Caenorhabditis elegans: one gene and its partners. The protein of the gene in region 3 interacts with the protein of the main gene of each other region in a pairwise test. Each region holds a gene or a part of one and is shown on either strand. Other genes may lie near its edges.

Region 1 (6,372 bases), 4.5 Mb from region 3:
AGATGCTCGGAAAACCTATATTTTCACAAAAATTGATGGGGAAAGTGAGATGATTAAGAAAACCAAAAAAGCATTGGGAGTTGGGGAGAACGAATCAATAATTGTGTTTTTGAACAAGGATCGAGTGCATCGAATTCCAATTTCAAAGCCTAAATGCCCTGATCATCTTCAGAAAATTCTCCAGATGATTATTACATCTGAAGCGGATCGTGAGTTTTTCCAGATACTTAGCCATACGCGAAGTTTCGTGATTTTTGTTGAATTTAACAAAGAATTCATCGTGCCGAGACCGAAATTACAGAAGTTCTCTCAACAAAAGAGCCACATCCATTAAGATATCTTCAAGTTGAAAAAGTGAACGAAGTATTCGGATTCGAGGAGACTCTTGTTCTTCCAGATCACACACTTTTCCTGGATTCCGATGTAAGTAAAAGTTTTGTTTCCAGTCAAATAAAATCTCTTGAATTTTCAGCCATTCTCTCGTCATCCACCAATTACAGAGGGTGGTGGTGGTGGTTGCCCATTTATGCAAGGAGGTGGAGCACCAACAGAATCTAGTCAACATTCAGAACTTTGATATATTATCATCATGCATAATTTTTGAAACAAGAATAACTATTACTATACATTTTTAATAAAATGAGAAAAAACATAAGAATTTACAACTTCAAAATTATATCAATATCAACTTCAACAAAGTTCATAAACTTGTGGATGTGTGCGTGCCGTGGCATCATCACGGAGATTCAGAGTATCAGAACAGAATTCAAATAATATAAGCCGACTAACTATAGAGATAGTGATTCAATAACTTGATAGGATGAGACAGTTTAAGATAGAAGCTTAGAAATTGCGCTGTGAGAGGTGGGGGGAGGGGAAGGGACCAAAACAGAGAAAACGGAGGACAGAAACCCATGTTGAACTGAGAGATTGAGAAAATGAGGAAATTTACTAAATAATTTAATGGCGGTTCTAGATGAAAATACGATGGAAGTCATTGGCTCCGAAGTTGCTGTTGCATTTCGGGCATTTCCGTTGACGAGTGTCGTACCTGGAATTTTTTGAATCATAAGCTAGAAATGCGAGATATCGCTTGAATATGTATTTTTCGTTTTACTCCGACGCGAAATTTCAAGCTGAAAATACACGACAAAATGTTTTGTTAAATGGGAAAAGGTGTGCGTCTTCAAAGAGTACTGTAGTCTCAGACTTTTGTTTTAGCGGAATTTTCATAACTAGTTGCACTTTTTTATTAGTTAAAAGATTGTGAGAAATAGGTATTGTAATACCAAATTCTCACAATTTGTTAAAATTCGGGTTTTTTTTAAATTTCATATTCAGTTGACATTTTTTATCGAGAAACTATGAAAAATTGATGAAAATTTCGTAGCATCAAGAGTTTGAAATTACAGTACTCTCTAAAGACGCGTGTCGATACATTTTTTTTAATTAAAAATTGAAAATTTTTGCGTCTAGGTCAAACCAACCAATTTTAGTGTTTGAAAAATGAAACTAACATAGTCTTAATGCAAGTTTCACAGAATAAATGATAGCATTTGAGCATAATACAATCCTTTGGCCTCGTTTTACATGATGGACAAGTCAGTGTTTCTTTCATTTGTCGATTCGCTTCCTCGAGGACTTGATCACCACTTTGAGCCGGTACAGACTCATTTCGTTTTACTCGTTCATATTTAATTCGAAGCGTCTCAAGTTCCTCTTCAGCACGTTGTCTCTTGAATTTAAAATCTTCGATTTCACGTGCCTTGGCAGCGTATAATTCTTGAATTTGCTTCATTTGACCTTCACATCGATCCGCTTTAATTTGGTTTTCGTCTCGTGACATTCCAACTTCTTGAATGTTCTTTCTATGTTGTTCCATCAAGTTTGTGAGACGTCTAAAAAATGATATTTTAATTTATGGATTTCTTAACATTCAAAACTAACGTTAATTCGGCAGATTTGAACTGAACTGATTCCGACAGTTTAGTTACCAACTCTTCATTTGCTTTCTTCTCAAATTCGTGCATTTTTGCTATTTGAGCATCTGTTTGTGCTTTACTTTCCAAACAAGACAATTTTTCACGCAATCGATTAAATGTCTGATTCTGAATCATTCGATCATTCATCATTTTCAGATTTCGATCCTCCTGTTCCCGCTTCTCAATGTACAGTTGAGCATTCCGTTCTTGTTCTTCTTCTACAGCTGTTCCAATGGCTTCTAACTCATCAGATATGCATTCTTCGTCATTAGTCAGCATTTCATTGGTCTTACGAAGAGTCTCCAATTCGGACAATTTATCAGCAATTTGACGATTGACTTCTTTCTGTAAATTCTCACACGGGATTGTAGAGATATGAACAGACGCAGAAATAATGTTTTAGAGTTTACTGAAAGTACCAAATAACGAAAGGACGTGTACTTTGAAAACACATTTTTGTCAAATAAGGTACAATGACTTACTTCGACTTGTTTCTGCTTCTCCTGTTTTTCCATTGCTCCCAGTCGTTTTACTTCTTTACACAAAGATTCGTATTCTTGACGAATTTTATTAACATCTTCCGGTGGAGCATTACTAACGTCTTCAAGAGGAACAAGTAGACATTTATCCTGGGCTTCTTTCAGTGAAGTTAACTCAGACTTGAGAGTGTTGATATCTTTTTGAGATTGCTTATCCTTTTCGCGCAAACGAATTTTCTCTGATTTTAACGATCTATTCATAGATCGTAGAGTATTCAAAGTTGCTTTCATTTCATCCCACTCGCTTTGCTTCACCGTCTTATTATATTCTTCCTTAACAGTTTCGAATTCGCAGCGTAGAACTTCACTGTCATGAGATACTTTGTAGAAAGAATTGTGAATATCCGATTGACATTGAATTTCCTTCAGCGTCTTCTGATGTTCTTCAGACATTAGCATTGCACGAGCTTCCTTTGCACTGCGGAAAGCATCACGTTCTGTTGTGATATCTTCAAGATCTTTGCTGACTCGCTCGTATTCTTTAATTGCTAATGAGTAGTACTTTTTAAGATTCTTGTATTCCTCCGAGTTGACAATTGAATCCACAGAGAAGAAAGTTTGTGTCTGCAACTATTTCAGAGGTAATAGAAGAAATTCGGGTAAAAATTTCATATTTTTGTAATGGATAAAAATTAATATATAGTCAAAACGGTACCTCTAGTCTTAGCTTGCTATTTTCCTGTGTTAATGTTTGAACTTTTTTATTCATCTCCTCGAGATCTTGAAGGCGTCGTGATGCAATGGATTCCTGTTCATCTCGTTCAAGACGCAGATTTTCGATCTGAAATTATTTTTTAAAAATGCGTTATTCATTTCGATTGATAAAAAATTTTTAAATCTCACTTCTTTTGCAGCTGTTTCACTTGGTGGAATATCTGGAGCTGATATCTTCTTCTCAGTAGCATTTGTTGTACCCGACGAAGACGGTGTCGCCCCTCCGTTCCCTCCAGACTGTCCCTCCGAGACGAGGGTGGCTAGTTTGTACTCAAATTTGTTAGCAAGACGCATATGTTTGTCAGTTTCAAATCGGGCATCTTCCAATTGATGTTCTAATTCTTGAACTCTGTTCTCTTGTACAGAAAGCTTATCCGTTAGAATACGCTTTTTCCGTTCCAAATTGTAACAATCGCTTTGAACTTTGGTAACTTCGGATTGAAGCTTTTCATTTTGTATAGCTAAACTTGCTGCTTTGGCTGTAAGCTCCTTATGGACACCATTTGGATTGAAGGTAGGAGAATCGATCAATGTTTTTAGTTTATCGATGAAAATGGTGGATTCGTGAGCCCGATCGTGGCGCGCTTTAGCATACGATACGAATGCATTCCGTCTATAGAAATATGTAAATTAAGAGTGAATTTTAATAATTTAAAACTCACAAATTCTGCTTTGCCTGATCAAAGAACTTGTTATATGTTTCATTAGTCATTCCAAGAACGTCTATACCAGTTGGTGCAGTGTCTCCTCCGATGTATTCTCCAAACTCATTCTTAGTTTGTGTACATATGTATTTCTCAATCTGAAAAAGAAAATAACTAATTGCAATCTGAAAATAAGTAAAAACGTACATCTGAGAACATATTATAAACCTTCAGAAAGTTGCTTTCGTCTGTCTGCTGCCGCCTCTTGGACCGTTCATTTTCTTTTTCCAATTCGGCTATTCGCTTATTTTTGTACAACAATTGCTGCTTTAATTTAGATGTCTGATAAACTACGGCACGAGCTCTTATATCGTTCTGAAATCGTTAGGGATTATTAATAGTATCCTCGATTTTAAATGAAAGACATACCACGTTGCTAACAGCGGGCATTCGGACCGGTTCGAATTGAATTTTGCGTCGTTTTTGTTGTCCATCGTCACTCGGGCTACTTGCATAATTTTCTCCTCCTATACCTTCATTACTTCTTTTCATCATACCTGAAATCAATACGTTTCTAATATTGTATACAAAATGTTAAAGAGATGGTAGAAAGCAGGGAAAACAAGGAAAAGATTTTAAACATATTAACGGATACTTAATCAATGTTTTTGAACAGATTTGATGACAATTTTATTGTTTTTGGAGTGCAAAAAAGGTGATTACAAAAAGATTTCCAAAGAGACATTTCAAATGGCACTCTTTTCGTTGCGAGACCTGAGTGAGAGAGTGTGTGACTACGGTCAAGAGACGGAAATGGGGTAGATTTACGACCGAACAGCATTTACGAGACTTGCGGGACTTTCGAATTCTTAATTCGTTTTTTTCTCCTCAAATTTCGGTCTTTCGTCCAAATAACAATGGTAAAAAGGATTTTTGTGCAAGGATTGGATAGCTATACAACGGAATCGACAGTTAAAAAATATTTTGAACAATTTGGAACTTTATACGAGTGCATTCTACCTCCTCCTCCTAGATATTCGGTACAGAAACTCTTGTTCTGATAGAAAATGTCATTATTTTCATTTTATAGGTATTCGACAATGGACCAGACGAGGAGAAAATTTCAACACGATCATCGATTCGATATGAGCCTGTGGAAAATGATGATGTATTAGATGACGAGCTCGATGTCGAACGATACGATGTTGAAAAACACGGCGATTTTGAGAGTTACATGAGTACGTAAGTTCGAAAGCTTTTGAAAAAAGTAAAAATGCCGAGTTCCAGAAAAAATTGGAGAAGGTGAAGCATTTATCAAAGAGCCGAGAAAGACTAGCGCAGGCTACGCCTACATCACTTTCGTTGATTCGAACGGATATTCAAATTGCATGAAATCAGATATTCATGAAATCGATCGAGCCAAATGCACTGTTGAGCCAGCAAAAGATGAAAATGATAAGAAGTTGAAAGTAGAATCAAAACGACTTTTTGTTTCTTATTTTCCACTAGACAGATTAACTTCAAAAGAACTGAAAATGAATTTTGGAGCCTACGGAAAAATCACAGATGTAGAATTTGTCAGTGTAAGTTTTTAATTATTTGTATGTTTATTTCATGTTAATTTTTATTGTTGCAGGATTCAGAAGGGCCGCTTCACTTCTGCATTATAACTTTCGCAGACTCCAGATCTGTTGATGTTCTTCTAACCAAGTCAATATACATCAGGGTGAGAATATAGAATGCTTTCAAAAAAAGATGCGACTAATTCTTCAACAAACAATATCAGGCGTAGTCATCAGGACTTGATTGCAACCTCGTATTATAACGCGTTATGAAACATTTTTCAGGATGTTCTGATGTTCACCCGACGTGCTGTATTGAAGGAGTCCGTTAAAATAGCGGAACATAAGATAAAAGAGCAGGAACAACAAAACCTCGTGCAACTAGTAAGTTTTATAAAGTTTAAATAAATTATCTTGTAAAACGTGTTTTAAAATATTGCATTACATTTTCAGCCTCCAAATCACACTGCTTATCTAACGCCGTCACGTCCCGTAACTTCTGTACATGCCTCATCATCTGCTTCATCAAATCACTATGATCCATCTGCAGCAGCAGGATATGCACCACTATATCATCAACCACCAGAATCAGATCCATTGTCTCAATGTGGCTATGGACCGAGAAAATGGTAGCTGTGATGATCAAACAAAACTCATATATCTCAAATTACGGTTTCACTTAATTCGAAGTTTACGAACATTGATTTTAAAAAATAAAATTGATTTATCTTCGAAGTTTCATTCTCTCGTAACTTCCTTTATTCTCTACTAGTGAGCGCAGTGAGCGAATGTTCTGTGAGTGTTTGAAGAGGCCGTCCGTTGTCCCTCTGACCGAGAATAAAACATTATACAAAATGAAGAGAACACAGGGAACCACGGATGTATCTCTGTGTCTCTTCACGATGCCAATACATTCCTTGTATCCCTTCGA
Region 2 (4,247 bases), on a different chromosome or scaffold from region 3:
CAGAATACAAGGGTGAGTGGAAGCCAAAGCAGATCAAGAACCCAGCCTACAAGGGCAAGTGGATCCATCCAGAGATTGAGAACCCAGAGTACACTCCTGATGATGAACTCTACTCTTATGAAAGCTGGGGAGCCATCGGATTCGATTTGTGGCAGGTAAGAAACTTTTATTCTATTTTTCAAAAATGAAACTCAAACTTTATTTTTTCAGGTCAAGTCAGGAACGATCTTTGACAACATTATCATCACCGACTCTGTTGAGGAGGCCGAGGCCCATGCTGCCGAGACTTTTGACAAATTGAAGACTGTTGAGAAGGAAAAGAAGGAGAAGGCCGACGAAGAAACCCGCAAGGCTGAGGAGGAGGCTCGCAAGAAGGCCGAGGAGGAGAAGGAGGCCAAGAAGGATGATGATGAGGAGGAGAAGGAAGAGGAGGAAGGACACGATGAGCTCTAAGCAAATCGTGCACAGCTTTTCAACTCGCTTCATACAATCGCCCCCACTCCATCACAATTCCCCCGCATTCAAGTCTCTCCTATTCTCTCGGGTTAATTGATTGTTTTATTAATTTATTGAGCATCCATTTTGATGCTGGATAGCCTTTCTTGTTTTATAATAAAAAAATTTTAAAACCTATTTACGAGTTCGATTAGTTCAATGAATATAAAATACAGGATCAGATACATAGAAAAGCGATAAAAACCGGCACAAAATAGGAAATTGATATGTGATTCAATTAAAGTGATTGACGCAACTTCAGCCATTCTACAAGCCAATTGGGAAGCGTTTCCTCGCATTCGAGCATAAAAGAACACAGCTGCTCGATAATATTCGACATTGGTCCGCCAAATAAATGATGCTCATCGATGAGGACAGTAGCTCTTCCACCACATCCATCGCGACCAACTCGTCCGATTCTATGCATGTAGCTCGGAAAATCGGTGGACATTTCCATGATTATTGTCTGAAATATGTGACTTAAGATAAAAAATATTTGGGTCAATAGTAGCCATGTTTTTATCAATTTAATATATATGTAAACTTACCTGTTTCACAGAAGACACATCGATTCCTCTCGACATAATATTGGTACATACAACTCCATGAATGTTGCAAAACTCCAAATCATTCAAAGTGATTGCTTGTTGTTGTTTCAACACACTACTGCATACAGGTTTGAAATTATATCCCATCTGACGAAGTGCCATAGTTACCTGAAAATGTTCTCAATATTTTTAAAATCGAAAGAATAGGGGTAAAACCTGAATAACTCTTGAGACAGTTTCACAGAAAATTGCAATAGTATGCTTCCATGGGCCTTCTTTTGTGCTTCCCATTTCCTTGAGATCATCATCTAACAATTTACAAATAATATTCATCTTAACGATCCAAGGATTCGAATGGATATCATTTACTCGCTGTCCACCAATTCGAATAACTCGTTGAGTGATATATCCAGGCAATCTCGGACAATGGATCAGTGACCATGGATTTTCACCTAACATTCTTGATTGACGTGAAGTTAATGCAATTGAACCATCTTCGTTTCTGTTGTGAGACGCAGAAAAGAAACAAGATTGAAGATTTCTGAGCACATCCTCTTGTAGTTGGTCTAAAACCCAATCAATGTCATTTCCGAAGCATGCAATGTCAATCATTTTATCAGATTCATCCAAAATCATCATTTTCAAATTGTCAAGAAGAATTGTTTTATCCTCGATCGATGCTTTCAGCTTTCCCATCGTACAGAACGCAATATCGCATTGATCTATAAAGAATTCGTTTTTTTTTGGTTAGACGAATGCTGTAACGAACCTTTTGTGAACTGATAGCTAGCAACTAGTTTTTCAATTTTAATATCTCGAATAGGTATAATATCTTCCATATCTATCAAACCAAGAAGAACTTCACAACGATTAAAAAGTTGTTCAACGAGTGAGTTGGTATTTGCAAGAATAAGAATAGTTGGTGATGGCGTGGTTGAAATATTGGTAAGCAATGGTCGCTCCCTCAATGCAATTTCAATCGCCGGAATAAGAAACGCATAAGTCTTCCCGATTCCAGTTGGAGCATCCACTAGAAGTCCTCGGCGGTCACGAATAGCTTGAATTGATTTTTGTTGAACTGCATTCAGAATATGAACTTTTATTCGTTGCAAATTGGCGGCAAGTCGGTGATCTTCTATTGCATGTGCAACCATCCTCTCTGTTCCATAATCAGCTGGAGTTTCTACTCCGTCTTGATCCACCATTATCGTGTTCTCCTCACAGTGTTTATTCAATTTGTCAGTTTCAGCTTTTGAAGATGTGACTGCGCCCAACTGCTGATGACGATCTCTCATTGCTGAAGAAAAGTTATTGAAATATTTAATTGCCCAGAACATGGTTTACCAAAATAATAATCTCTAGTTTTAATAGATCTGAAGTTGAGTACATTTGCATACTTTGGAGGAACTAAATCAATGTGCTCAACTTGTACCCGACTATCGTCTAATGCATCGGCAGTGTTCCAAGGATGAGGCATCTACAAAGATTATTACAAAAATGTTTATATTTTGGTTTGAAAATAAATATTTGAACGAAAAGTAACGGTTTTTACGACACAATATTATAAAAGTAGAAATATAAAAAACGTTTGTTTACCCAAAAAAAAATACATGTAACAATTAAGCCAGAATGAAGATGATAACAAATTAGAAAATCATAGAATCAGAATTTAATATTCTTATGTGCTCGGTGTCTCTTTCGACAGGATCGCATAATCCAGACCAGAATCATCGGATGGGCACGTCACGTCGCTGTTGTATCCATGTTTGTGAAAGAAGCCGAGCGACGGTCCATTATACAGAAAAACTGTTGCCATGACTTTACTCATGTTTGTCCTGAAAATAAGAGTTTTTGTTTATTGGCTCTCGAATTAATTGAAACTGTACTTTGAAGAGAGCTTTTCCAGCGTGTCGAGCATCATGCCACCGATTCCTTTGTTCTGATAAGCCGGTACAATTTGAAGTTCCCAACAATATGCCACAGGAATGTTGTGATCGACCACAAATCGATAAGTGGTATAGCCAATTTTATCCCCTTTCGAATTCTTCGCGATGATGAACCTTGATGTTGTTGCACGAAGTTCGTTTCGCTTGGAATTTTCATCGTATCCCCACTGGGATTTGTGATACATATCGTACATGTTCTCTTTGAATAAACTGAACACCCACTCGAAGTCTTCATCACTCAAATGTGTCGCCCACATGTAATCGAATTTGATAGTTTCGCTGAAAATAATAAAGATTAATTTGAAAATCATTCAAAGATCCTACCCATCAGTTGTAGTACTTCTTTGTGTCTCGCATTCGAATTTCTCAACTGGTTTTATGTGCTGACAAGCTTTTTTGACCAATTTTTTCGAGTCTACGGGCATTTTTGGGCCGATATCTGAAAAATTGTTTTACAATTATTGAGAAATAAAACATGATCGATTATACTGGTGACAAATTGATCAATAAAACCGTAAAGAATACTGAAAAGAAAGGATAGAATCATTTGAAAAAAATGCATATAACTTGAATGTCGTATATTGTGGTGAAAAGTGTGCAAACACCATCACGTCAAGTCACGGATTTGCTTTAAATTAACATTTATATGTAAAAATTAGTCTTTATTGATAAAAATATCGTTAAAATGTACAATTTTGTTGATAATCGGAAACAAATTTACATTTCGTATGTTTTAAGTTGTAATATGTCTCCTAGCTAATATTTTCAGGGTCATTCTTCGCTGTATCATCTGAAATTGAATGCTAGTTAGATATTTTCAATTTTTATTATTAGAAATAAAACAGCTATCCAGCATAAAAAACGATGTTTAATAGAAATATACAAAAAGTGTTACGACAGCACGTTCTTAACCATGCGAAAAGTTCAGAAGTCTGAGACCCGAAGAACTCGGGGGATGTCCAATTGGGGGGATTACCAACTCGGGGGATTGGCCCCGCCCACAGAACCGTGGCTTGCAATACGCCCATTTCTGCAACTGCCGCACGGTTTTAAAACTGTATTTTTCTCAATAGAGCGAGAAATAACAAGAAAAAATAATTTTAAAACCGTGCGGCAGTTATGAAAAACCGTGCGGCAGAAATGGGCGTATTGCAAGCCACGGTTCTGTGGGCGGGGCCAATCCCCCGAGTTGGTAATCCCCCCAATTGGACATCCCCCGAGTTCTTCGGGTCTCAAAAAATGGACGAAAATTAAAATT
Region 3 (5,774 bases):
TTCTTGTAATTTTTGAGAATGCGTATTGAACAACATATCCGACGCGCAAAATATCTTGTAGCAAAAACTACAGTAATATGACTACTGTAGTGTCGATTTACGGACCCGGATTTTTGAATTGTTTGAATAGTGATAGAAGAAAATTAAATATCGCTGTCACTATTTAAAAATAAATTCAATTCGAAAATCGAGCCCGTAAATCGACAAGAATTTTCGCTACGAGATATTTTGCGGGTCAGTTATGTTGTTCAATAAGCATTCTCAATATTTAACCATCTTAATCATGAAACTTCAAAATCGGAAGAAAAAAGTATATTCTAATATTCAAAAAAATCTTCAGTCTTCCTCTTCTTTCCAGTCTGGCACGTGGAATGCGAGATGGAATAGTTTTGGGGGCACGCAGACATTATATCAAATCTCGATAGGCTAAAAATGGCGGGGAGTTGGAAGAGAAGAAGAATCTGGAAAAATATGAATGTGGGGGGCTATTGAAAAGAAAATGAGAATCATATTCATTAGAATAGTTGGGAAACAACTAAACGGAAAATTGAACGATAATGGAATGCGAAATGTGGAAGTCGTCAGAAAACGTGAGATTAACGTGAACAAAATATGGATCTCCACGATTTCACAAAAACATAATGGTGGGGCTAGCTTTGGAAAATAATGAACAATGTATAAAATTATTGAAGTTATATCGGTGTATTGAAGATCGTCTGGGATGGAACACATGATGAAGGAGATCAGTCTATTGATTCGCTCCAACTCCGTCGTCGGCGGCGAGAGATCGGCGATAGTAGTCGTTGGAGGCACCTTGATAATCAGACGATCCTCTGTAGTACTTCCCGTGATTCTTATTCAGGAACACAATCAAATCGTGAACTCCAATCATGATGCGCTGAAAATTGATTTATTTTATTTTTGGAGCATGGGACTACGCTCAGTGGGGAAATTGCTTTAAAACACGCCTATGGTACCACAATGACCGAATATCATGATTAAAAAAATTCAAAAAAAAATTTCTAGATTTTATATGATTTTTCGAAAATTGAAAAAATCTCAGTTTTCACCTAATTATTTTTGAATTACCGTCAATTGGATTTGTTCGATGGAGCGCGCTTGCATTATTTTCATTAATTAATTTTATTTTTTCTCGTTATTTGGCTGGTTTTCTTCATTTTCTATGCTTTTAAAAAGGACAAATGCGAAATGTTTGTTAAAAAGTAATTGAAAATGAGTAAAACTGTGAAATATACTAATCTCAGGCTTGTCGGAACTCAGAATATCACAGTTTTACGCATTTTCAATTACTTTTTAACAAACATTTCGCATTTGTCCTATTTATTTCTTTCATTTTCCGAGGAAAAAACATAGAAAATGAAGAAAACCAGTCAAATAACGAGAAAAAATAAAATTAATTAATGAAAATAATGCAAGCTCGCTCCATCGAACAAATCCAATTGACGGTAATTCAAAAATAATTAGGTGAAAACTGAGATTTTTCCAATTTTCAAAAAATCATATAAAATTTATAAAATTTTTTTGAATTTTTTATCATGATATTCTGTCATTGTGGTCCCATAGGCGTGTTTTAAAGCAATTTCGGGCTCCTGAATTCACGGAAAATCGTTTTTTTTTGCTATTTTTTATTTATATTAATGTTGAGAAAAATGATACGCATTGAAAAAATGTAAATTTTGGAAATTTGGCCTCAAACTGGATCGAAACCGTCAGTTTTTCGATTTCAGGATCGTAAAATATTCAATTTTGTGGAGAAAACGCAGATTCACAAAAAAAAATTGATTTTTAAAATTAAACAAGGCAATTTCCCCATTTTTCAATTTTAAAAATCAATGTTTTGTGAATCTGCTTATTCCCTACAAAATGGGATTTTTTATGATCCTGAAATCGAGAAAATTGACGGTTTCGATCCAATTTTCGGCCTAATTTTTCCAAATTTTACACCTTTTCGCCAAAAAAAAACAGATTCCGTGTGGAAACCAGATTCAGGAGACGCTCCAGGAGTTGAACTTCGAACATACGTTAATAACATGATCATTCCATTGAGTGAGCTTCAGGTAGTCCGGGAGCTTTGCGAGCATTCTCAAGAAATGCACAATTCCGTACTCTTGAGATGGACGGAATCCACTATCCTGCAGGGCGGTCGGGTTTGTGATGTCGATTCCCTTCTCCATAGCTCGCTTTTTGACAAGGTCATTGTACTGTGGCCGCTCGAACTTATAGAGCAGTTGGTAGCTGGAACTAAACAATTCATCCTTACATCGTAACTGTTTCAAGTGGGATTGGGGCGACTATTCTACGAAGCGGAGGGCATTATGTGTACTCACTGCTACTTTTATCGAACGAGGGACGAGGAAAAGCGGTTTCTAGGCCATGGCCGAGGGGCCGACAAGACTTAGCGGCAATTTATCTTGCTTTGTTTTCCGCGTGTTTTCTTTTGTTTTTCAAAAAAATTTTCCGTTTTTTCTTATTAAAACTAAATAAAAGATAAATAAATATTTTTGTAGATGCCAAAACAATTTCCAGGTGAAAAAATTGTGTATTCAGTCGGCAAGAAGCGGTGAAAGTGGTCAATGTTATATGATGGATTACGGTAATACTAAACCTAATCGTTTTTCTGAAACATGGCATTTATTCTGCTTAGAGACTGAAACTATTCGATTTTCATAACGAGACCGCTCAAAAAGTTCTGAGATTTTTGCACAAAAAGTTGAATTTTGAAAATCTCAAATCTTTTTCAGCGGTCTCGTTATGATGAAAATCGGGTAGTTTCAGTCTCTAAGCAGAATATATACCATGTTTCAGAAAAGGTTTAGATTTAGTATTCCCGTAATCCATCATATAACATTGAGCACTTTCACCGCTACTTGCCGACTGAATACATAATTTTTTCACTTGGAAATTGTTTTGGCATCTGCAAAAATATTTATTTATCTTTTATTTAGTTTTAATAAGAAAAAAACGGGAAAAGTCTATGAAAAATTAAAGAAAACACGCGGAAAACAAAGCAAGATAAATGGCCGCTGAAACTTGTCGGCCCCTCGGCCATGGGCTAGAAACCGCTTTTCCTCGTCCCTCGTTCGAAAAAAGTTGCAGTGGTACTAAACATTGGGCTACGTGCAATTTGCATGCATCTGTTTAACATATTCGAATTAACCAACCCCAAAGTGACATTAAAATAGTCGACGAGTCCACGCGCGGTGCAAATCAGAGCCAAATTCGTGATTTTTATATCAGCTTCCTCGTATTCGATGAGCAGATCATCGACCGTTCTCATTTGCTCATTACTGACCGGAATGGTTTTGATGTACTGAAAATGTTGGATTTGAAAATCGGAAAAAATGATATTTTAATTTTTTTTATGCTTACGTCCTCGATGATTTGATCAACTGAATACTCGTGTGGCACGATGTTTATGAAATAACGGCAGACAAGATCGTAGTCATCGATCAGGATCTTTCTCAGTGGCTTCGGAAGCTCGACCTTCATATCGTCGGCGGTCATAACCGGCGCAATTGTCACCGATTTCGCCTTTTTTCCCTTCGACGTCCCCGGAGTGTCATCACGATCGTCTCGTGGTGCTTCAGCCGCAAGACTTTTCTTCTTCGGCTTCAATGCAGTTGTTGGCAGCTCTGCGTTGTGTTTCTCTGCATACTCCGAGGCTGTTCCCTTGAAAATGCGGTCTTTCTCCTCGCCGACTGGGATTTTCTCATCGTATCGATTGTTCCAGCCCTTGAAGTGAACGCAGTAGAGTTCCTTGCCATCGCTGTTGGTTTTGATATCAGTAATTTTGGCATCGTATGGTTTGCCTTTGTAGATGCACGCGACGTTCTCGCCGACTTCGAAGTTCTTCTTTGAAGACATCTGAAGGAATTAAAGAAATTAATCGATTAATTGGTGTTTTAAGCGAGTTTTAGCAGCAATTCTAGCCAATGATGTATATTTGAACGATTTTTAATCAAAAAATAGATTAAAAATATCGAAAATTCGATAAATTTATCGATAAAAACAAAAAAAAAGCTTTTCTCAAAGCTCAACGGCATTTTCGCAATTCAAACCCCCCTGCGGCGCGGTTTTCTAAGCAAATGCAATAGCGCCGCGCACGAAAAAGTACGCAAACACCACGACGCAATAATGCAGACTTCCAATTTTGAGACGTCACCACTAGCTTTTTGCTCATTTCTTTTGGGTTTTTTTGGATTTCTATTCAATTTTTATTCTCAAATATATTAATTTTCAGATGACGGACGAGCCGGTGAAAGTTGTGAACAAATGGGACGGTCCAACAGTGAAGAATGCCCTTGATGAAGTCGTCAAAAAGGTTTGCTCTCCGAAACTCCAAAATTAAAATTAAAATTAAAATCTTTCGTTTCAGATTCTGAACGACAAAGTCGGATGGACGGAATCGCATAATCTAATGAATCTGCGTCTTCTCATCTCATTCATCGGCGTCGCGTTCTCCGCGTTCGCCTGCGGCTACGACTACTACGAGCCGTTCCCAAAGTCGAAAATCGTGCTCGCCGTGTGCTCGGTTTCCTACTTCATATGCATGGGAATTCTTCAAATGTATCAGTGGTACGTCGAGAAGGACTGCATCTACGAGGCCACCGAAGTCGACGGAAAACAATCGAGAAAATGGGCGTGGAGCTCGGAGATCAAGGCTCACGACGATAAGTACACGCTGTCGGCCGAGTTTAAGAAGGAAGGACGCTCTGGACAGGGAAAAATCACGAAATCTATCGGAGCTTATATCGATAACGATGGAGAGATCATCGTGCCACTTGTGAAGAAGGAGGTCGACGACTTGTACAACCGCTTGATTCGTAGCGAACAATAATTTATTTAATTTATCTGGTTTTCTTGGCCTAATTTATTTCCCCTTTTCTTCGCTTTTCATGGGTGCCCCTTTCTCTCTCCATCTATCCTGTTTCTTGTCTGTCAAAAGCTAATATTTCCAGCATTTTATACAATATGAACTTGTCAATTTCGGTAAGAATTCATTGTACAAATAGCTTGAAAAGAACAATTAACAAACACAAAATTTTAGCAATTTAACAATTTATTAGCAGATCCCATCTACTTCTTCATCTCGAGCATCTCTGCGTACTTCGCGGCCGAGCCCTTGAACAATCGACCCTGCTCCTCGCCGACTGGAATTTTCTCATCGTAACGGCTGTTCCATCCTTTGAAGTGAACGCAGTAAAAATCCTTCCCATCAGTGTCGGTTATGATGTCAACGATGTACGCGTCATATGGCTTTCCGTTCTGTGTGCACGTGACTTGCTCACCGATTATGAATTGTTCTCTACGTTTTCCGACTAGCCGCGGAGCGTTCTCTTTCGTCGCTTGAGGCTCTGTGGATTTTTCATGGTTTCTAGCGGACTGAAAATGCAAAATTTATTATTTAAAGCTTCAATATTCTCTGAGCAGTACCTTGCGCATTGTGACAACTGGAGCTCGGTAACCATCTGCTATCCCTTTAAAAATACGGTCTGTCTCCTCGCCGATTGGAATTTGCTCATCGTAACGATTGTTCCATCCTTTGAAGTGAATGCAGTAGCACTCCTTTCCATCCTTGTCGGGCTTGATGTCGGTGATGACCGCGTCATATACTTTTCCCTTGTAGGTGCATGCGACTAGCTCGCCGATTACGAATCTTGTGCCAGCTGCATCATTTGTTGAGCTGCTCTCACCATCCTCGGCTCGGCTGCTGGCGGACTGAAAAAACATGAATTCAGTTATTTAAAATTCCA
Region 4 (3,104 bases), on a different chromosome or scaffold from region 3:
AATGAGAGCTCACTATGAAAATGCTCTTGCTGTTGCCAAATACCTTGAAGCCAATGATCGTATCGAATCAGTTCTCTATCCAGCTCTTCCATCTCATCCACAACATGAAGTTCATGAGAAACAAACAAAGGGAATGTCTGGAATGATCTCATTCTATCTTAAAGGAGAACTTCAAGAGAGTCGTGCTTTCCTTTCTGCTCTCAAAGTATTCACTTTGGCTGAATCTCTTGGAGGATATGAATCACTTGCCGAGCTTCCATCTATCATGACTCATGCTTCAGTGCCTGCTGAAACTCGAATTGTTCTTGGAATCACTGATAACCTTATCCGTATCTCTGTTGGAATTGAAGATCTCGATGATTTGGTTGCTGATTTGGATCAAGCTTTGAAGATTGCCATTCCAAAAGTATAACTTTTCAATCATTTTATGATATGCATTTGTTTCAAATCTGAAAGCCGGTACTAGTTTTAATTGCCCACTCGTCTCCACCACAACCTCTAACTAATCGACTCAAATTGTGTCTTACACTATCCAATAAATTTTTTCTATGAAAAATGATAATTGTTATTCGAAACAGAAATTGGAATACATAACATGATATTTTGCAATTGGTATATGAAAGAAAGGTACACATTGAATTATAATTAGATAGCGTAGAAGGAATCATAGAGAGATCATTTAAGTTTGAATGTCATAATTTTCATCTTCTTCTGTCAATCTTCTGGGGATGGTACTCTTCTTTTCCGACTCGACGATCCCGTTGTCTGTGTTTCTTTCTCTTTCTGCTCTCTTATCTGAAAGCTATGAACAAAAATAAGCAATATCTATTGTTTCAAAATTACCTCGCGCACTTCAGCCATGATATACTCGGGAAGTTCGTAATCGGTGACACTATTAAACTCGCTTGGATACGATTCATTTTCTTCACAGAATCTCAGACCGAACCATTTTTTGAGCTTATCTTCGATCATTTCAAGTGAAGGACGACACAAGTATTTAGGCGGATATGAAGTTCGTTCTGGGCGTCCTCCCATCAAGAGGTCTCTTTGTTGGTTACGGAATGCAACTCTGTTCTCTTCTTAAAAATTATCATTAAAAAACATTAAACGAGTAGTTCACTGACCGCTTAGAAATATTTCGACTTGAGCATTTTCATTGTCAAACACTTTTCCCATACGTTCAATTATTCCAATTAGATGAAAATGTTTATTGATTCCGATCGGTTTAAACTCGCAGATTAAAGTGCTCAGACGGAGTTCTGACAGCTCACACCACGATTTTCGAGGATCAACATCTGGAAAATGACCATTAAAAAAAAAGAAGCTACAAGACTACTTACCTAGAAGATAAGGCTTGCAAGCCGCCTCTTGAACTGGTCCGAAAAAATCACGACGAATTTCTTCTTCTGTCTTTTTTGTAAGGACTCTCATCTAGAAATAACTAAGAAAGAAAACATAAAGCGTATAAGTTTTAAAAAAAGGTAACATAAATTTAGAATAAACTAAATATTAAATCCAATGAAAGTCTAGATTCAATAAGAAAGTTATTTTTAAAATAAAAAACACAACAACAACAGCAACAGTAAAAATTGTATAAAAATTGATCTAACATAAAGTTATATCAAAAGAATTAAATTATAATTCCATCGGATCCTTTCTTCAAAAATGCATCGAAACGTTTGTCATCCATGATGACAAGGCGACGGAATGGATTCCATTTCTTTCCATCCTTCTCGGTACTGTGGAATTTACTTCCAGGCTCTACATCCATGTGAACTGGATAGTCGAAATGAATTTCTTTTCCTTCTTTGATCTGAAAATAAAATCGATTGAAAATTATTTAGTTGATTCCTTATTATTTCACCTCAAATAGAACTCTATCTTCTGGATTGTCGAATTCGATTTCAGCATTTGCTAGTGCAGCCGCAGCAGCTCGCTTCTTTTCGGCTTTTCCCATTTTTCCTTTCTTTTTTCCAGCTACTCCACTAGATCCGTTTGAGCTGGCGCCAACTTTTGCTTCTGATCCATCAGTTTCAACAATGCGCAGTTTCTGTATGTAGATGATAGTTTTATATTTCGTTTCAAAGCCGGACAAATCTTCACGAATGCTTCCAAAGATTTGAGGAACGACAATAGTCGGAAAATTGAGAAGTCTTTCGTTGACAAACAACGCCGATTTACCATCACCAGAAACTTGAATTTCTTCAATTTTCTTGTAAATTTCAGTAGGAGCTCCTTTCTTTGCACGATTCAAAACATATGTGAATAAGTCTTTGATAAACTTTGGAGCATCATCCTTATTATCATTGAGAGGAACTGTTGTACATAACCCGTAAGCCATATAATCTTCTTCGGTTTCCTCATCGTCGTAAGCTTGCTGAAAATGTTTTTTTAAAGACTACATAATTATGCACTAAAACTTACAGTCAAGACGACTCCATGAGGTGCTTTAGCGATGATTCCTTCTGACATTGCTTTCAAGTCAATATCTGTTCTTAGGAATGTCTGAGTGAGCATGTTCACAATACCATCACGATCATCTTCCGATGGTGGATATGCTTCAAAATCGAAATCCATAATGTTCTGCTCATCTTCATCCTCTTCTTCATCGTCAATATCTTCATCATCCTCATCGCTCACATCTTCATCTTCTTCTACGTCTTCAACTGGTTCTGGTTCTTCCTCTTTTCTCAACTTCTTTCGCATAACCAACTCTTCTTGCTTCTCCTCTTCGGCTTCACGTTTAGCACCTCCTTTCTTTTTGAAAACTCGACCCATTCTGAAAAATGCTATAGACTATAAAAAAACATATAACTGACACAATGAATAAAGTATAAAAATGGTATATAACCATTTAAAACCAAATAAAAAGTGAACATTATTACAGTGGGTTAATTTAAAAAATTTAATTTTTGTTGAATAATGTTACACAAGAGATCACAATGAAAAATTGAGATATTTAGAATAGAGTACAAATTAATCACTTGAAACTAGTCATCAGCAAGTGCTTGTGCAATTTTAAGATAATTCGAGGCTCGTGCAATCGCCGTGCGATCAGCATTGTTTTCGCCGCACGTTCGGTCCCATTGCCAAACACGAATCGA

What was found.
Region 1: the proteins of mrg-1 (region 3) and rfp-1 interact in a two-hybrid assay, tested with the Caenorhabditis elegans proteins (2 studies listed by BioGRID).
Region 2: the proteins of mrg-1 (region 3) and smut-1 interact in a two-hybrid assay, tested with the Caenorhabditis elegans proteins (one study listed by BioGRID).
Region 4: the proteins of mrg-1 (region 3) and ZK1127.3 interact in a two-hybrid assay, tested with the Caenorhabditis elegans proteins (2 studies listed by BioGRID).

Annotation. Positions count from the first base shown.
Region 1 is NC_003281.10:8,356,689-8,363,060, reverse strand, and holds rfp-1 (E3 ubiquitin-protein ligase bre-1), read right to left. Parts: upstream 4,440-6,372; 5' UTR 4,435-4,439; coding exon 4,309-4,434; intron 4,255-4,308; coding exon 4,087-4,254; intron 4,038-4,086; coding exon 3,898-4,037; intron 3,849-3,897; coding exon 3,365-3,848; intron 3,303-3,364; coding exon 3,177-3,302; intron 3,086-3,176; coding exon 2,465-3,085; intron 2,337-2,464; coding exon 1,948-2,336; intron 1,899-1,947; coding exon 1,518-1,898; intron 1,052-1,517; coding exon 973-1,051; 3' UTR 578-972; downstream 1-577. Other genes in the region: R05D3.9 (uncharacterized protein), read left to right, coding at 1-209, 302-423, 473-577; Putative RNA-binding protein R05D3.8, read left to right, coding at 4,797-4,919, 4,970-5,117, 5,167-5,462, 5,516-5,605, 5,727-5,825, 5,895-6,074. UniProt on the Caenorhabditis elegans protein: E3 ubiquitin-protein ligase that mediates monoubiquitination of 'Lys-117' of histone H2B. H2B 'Lys-117' ubiquitination gives a specific tag for epigenetic transcriptional activation and is also prerequisite for histone H3 'Lys-4' and 'Lys-79' methylation.
Region 2 is NC_003283.11:6,095,378-6,099,624, reverse strand, and holds smut-1 (Synthetic MUTator), read right to left. Parts: upstream 2,521-4,247; coding exon 2,388-2,520; intron 2,341-2,387; coding exon 1,813-2,340; intron 1,766-1,812; coding exon 1,260-1,765; intron 1,212-1,259; coding exon 1,044-1,211; intron 962-1,043; coding exon 734-961; 3' UTR 542-733; downstream 1-541. Other genes in the region: crt-1 (Calreticulin), read left to right, coding at 1-155, 211-453; Y38A10A.7 (N-alpha-acetyltransferase 40), read right to left, coding at 2,722-2,878, 2,930-3,268, 3,314-3,414.
Region 3 is NC_003281.10:12,870,770-12,876,543, forward strand, and holds mrg-1 (Mortality factor related protein 1), read right to left. Parts: upstream 3,886-5,774; coding exon 3,391-3,885; intron 3,332-3,390; coding exon 3,183-3,331; intron 2,263-3,182; coding exon 2,043-2,262; intron 899-2,042; coding exon 749-898; 3' UTR 505-748; downstream 1-504. Other genes in the region: spcs-2 (Signal peptidase complex subunit 2), read left to right, coding at 4,262-4,342, 4,397-4,858; cec-7 (Chromo domain-containing protein), read right to left, coding at 5,098-5,403, 5,455-5,739. UniProt on the Caenorhabditis elegans protein: Protein involved in the remodeling of chromatin thereby regulating various processes including transcription, chromosome synapsis and genome integrity.
Region 4 is NC_003280.10:7,053,624-7,056,727, reverse strand, and holds ZK1127.3 (EAF7 family protein), read right to left. Parts: upstream 1,442-3,104; 5' UTR 1,432-1,441; coding exon 1,341-1,431; intron 1,296-1,340; coding exon 1,125-1,295; intron 1,080-1,124; coding exon 844-1,079; intron 803-843; coding exon 680-802; 3' UTR 555-679; downstream 1-554. Other genes in the region: cth-2 (Putative cystathionine gamma-lyase 2), read left to right, coding at 1-412; ZK1127.4 (Protein BCCIP homolog), read right to left, coding at 1,631-1,813, 1,865-2,377, 2,425-2,778; ZK1127.13 (Phage tail protein), read right to left, coding at 2,991-3,104.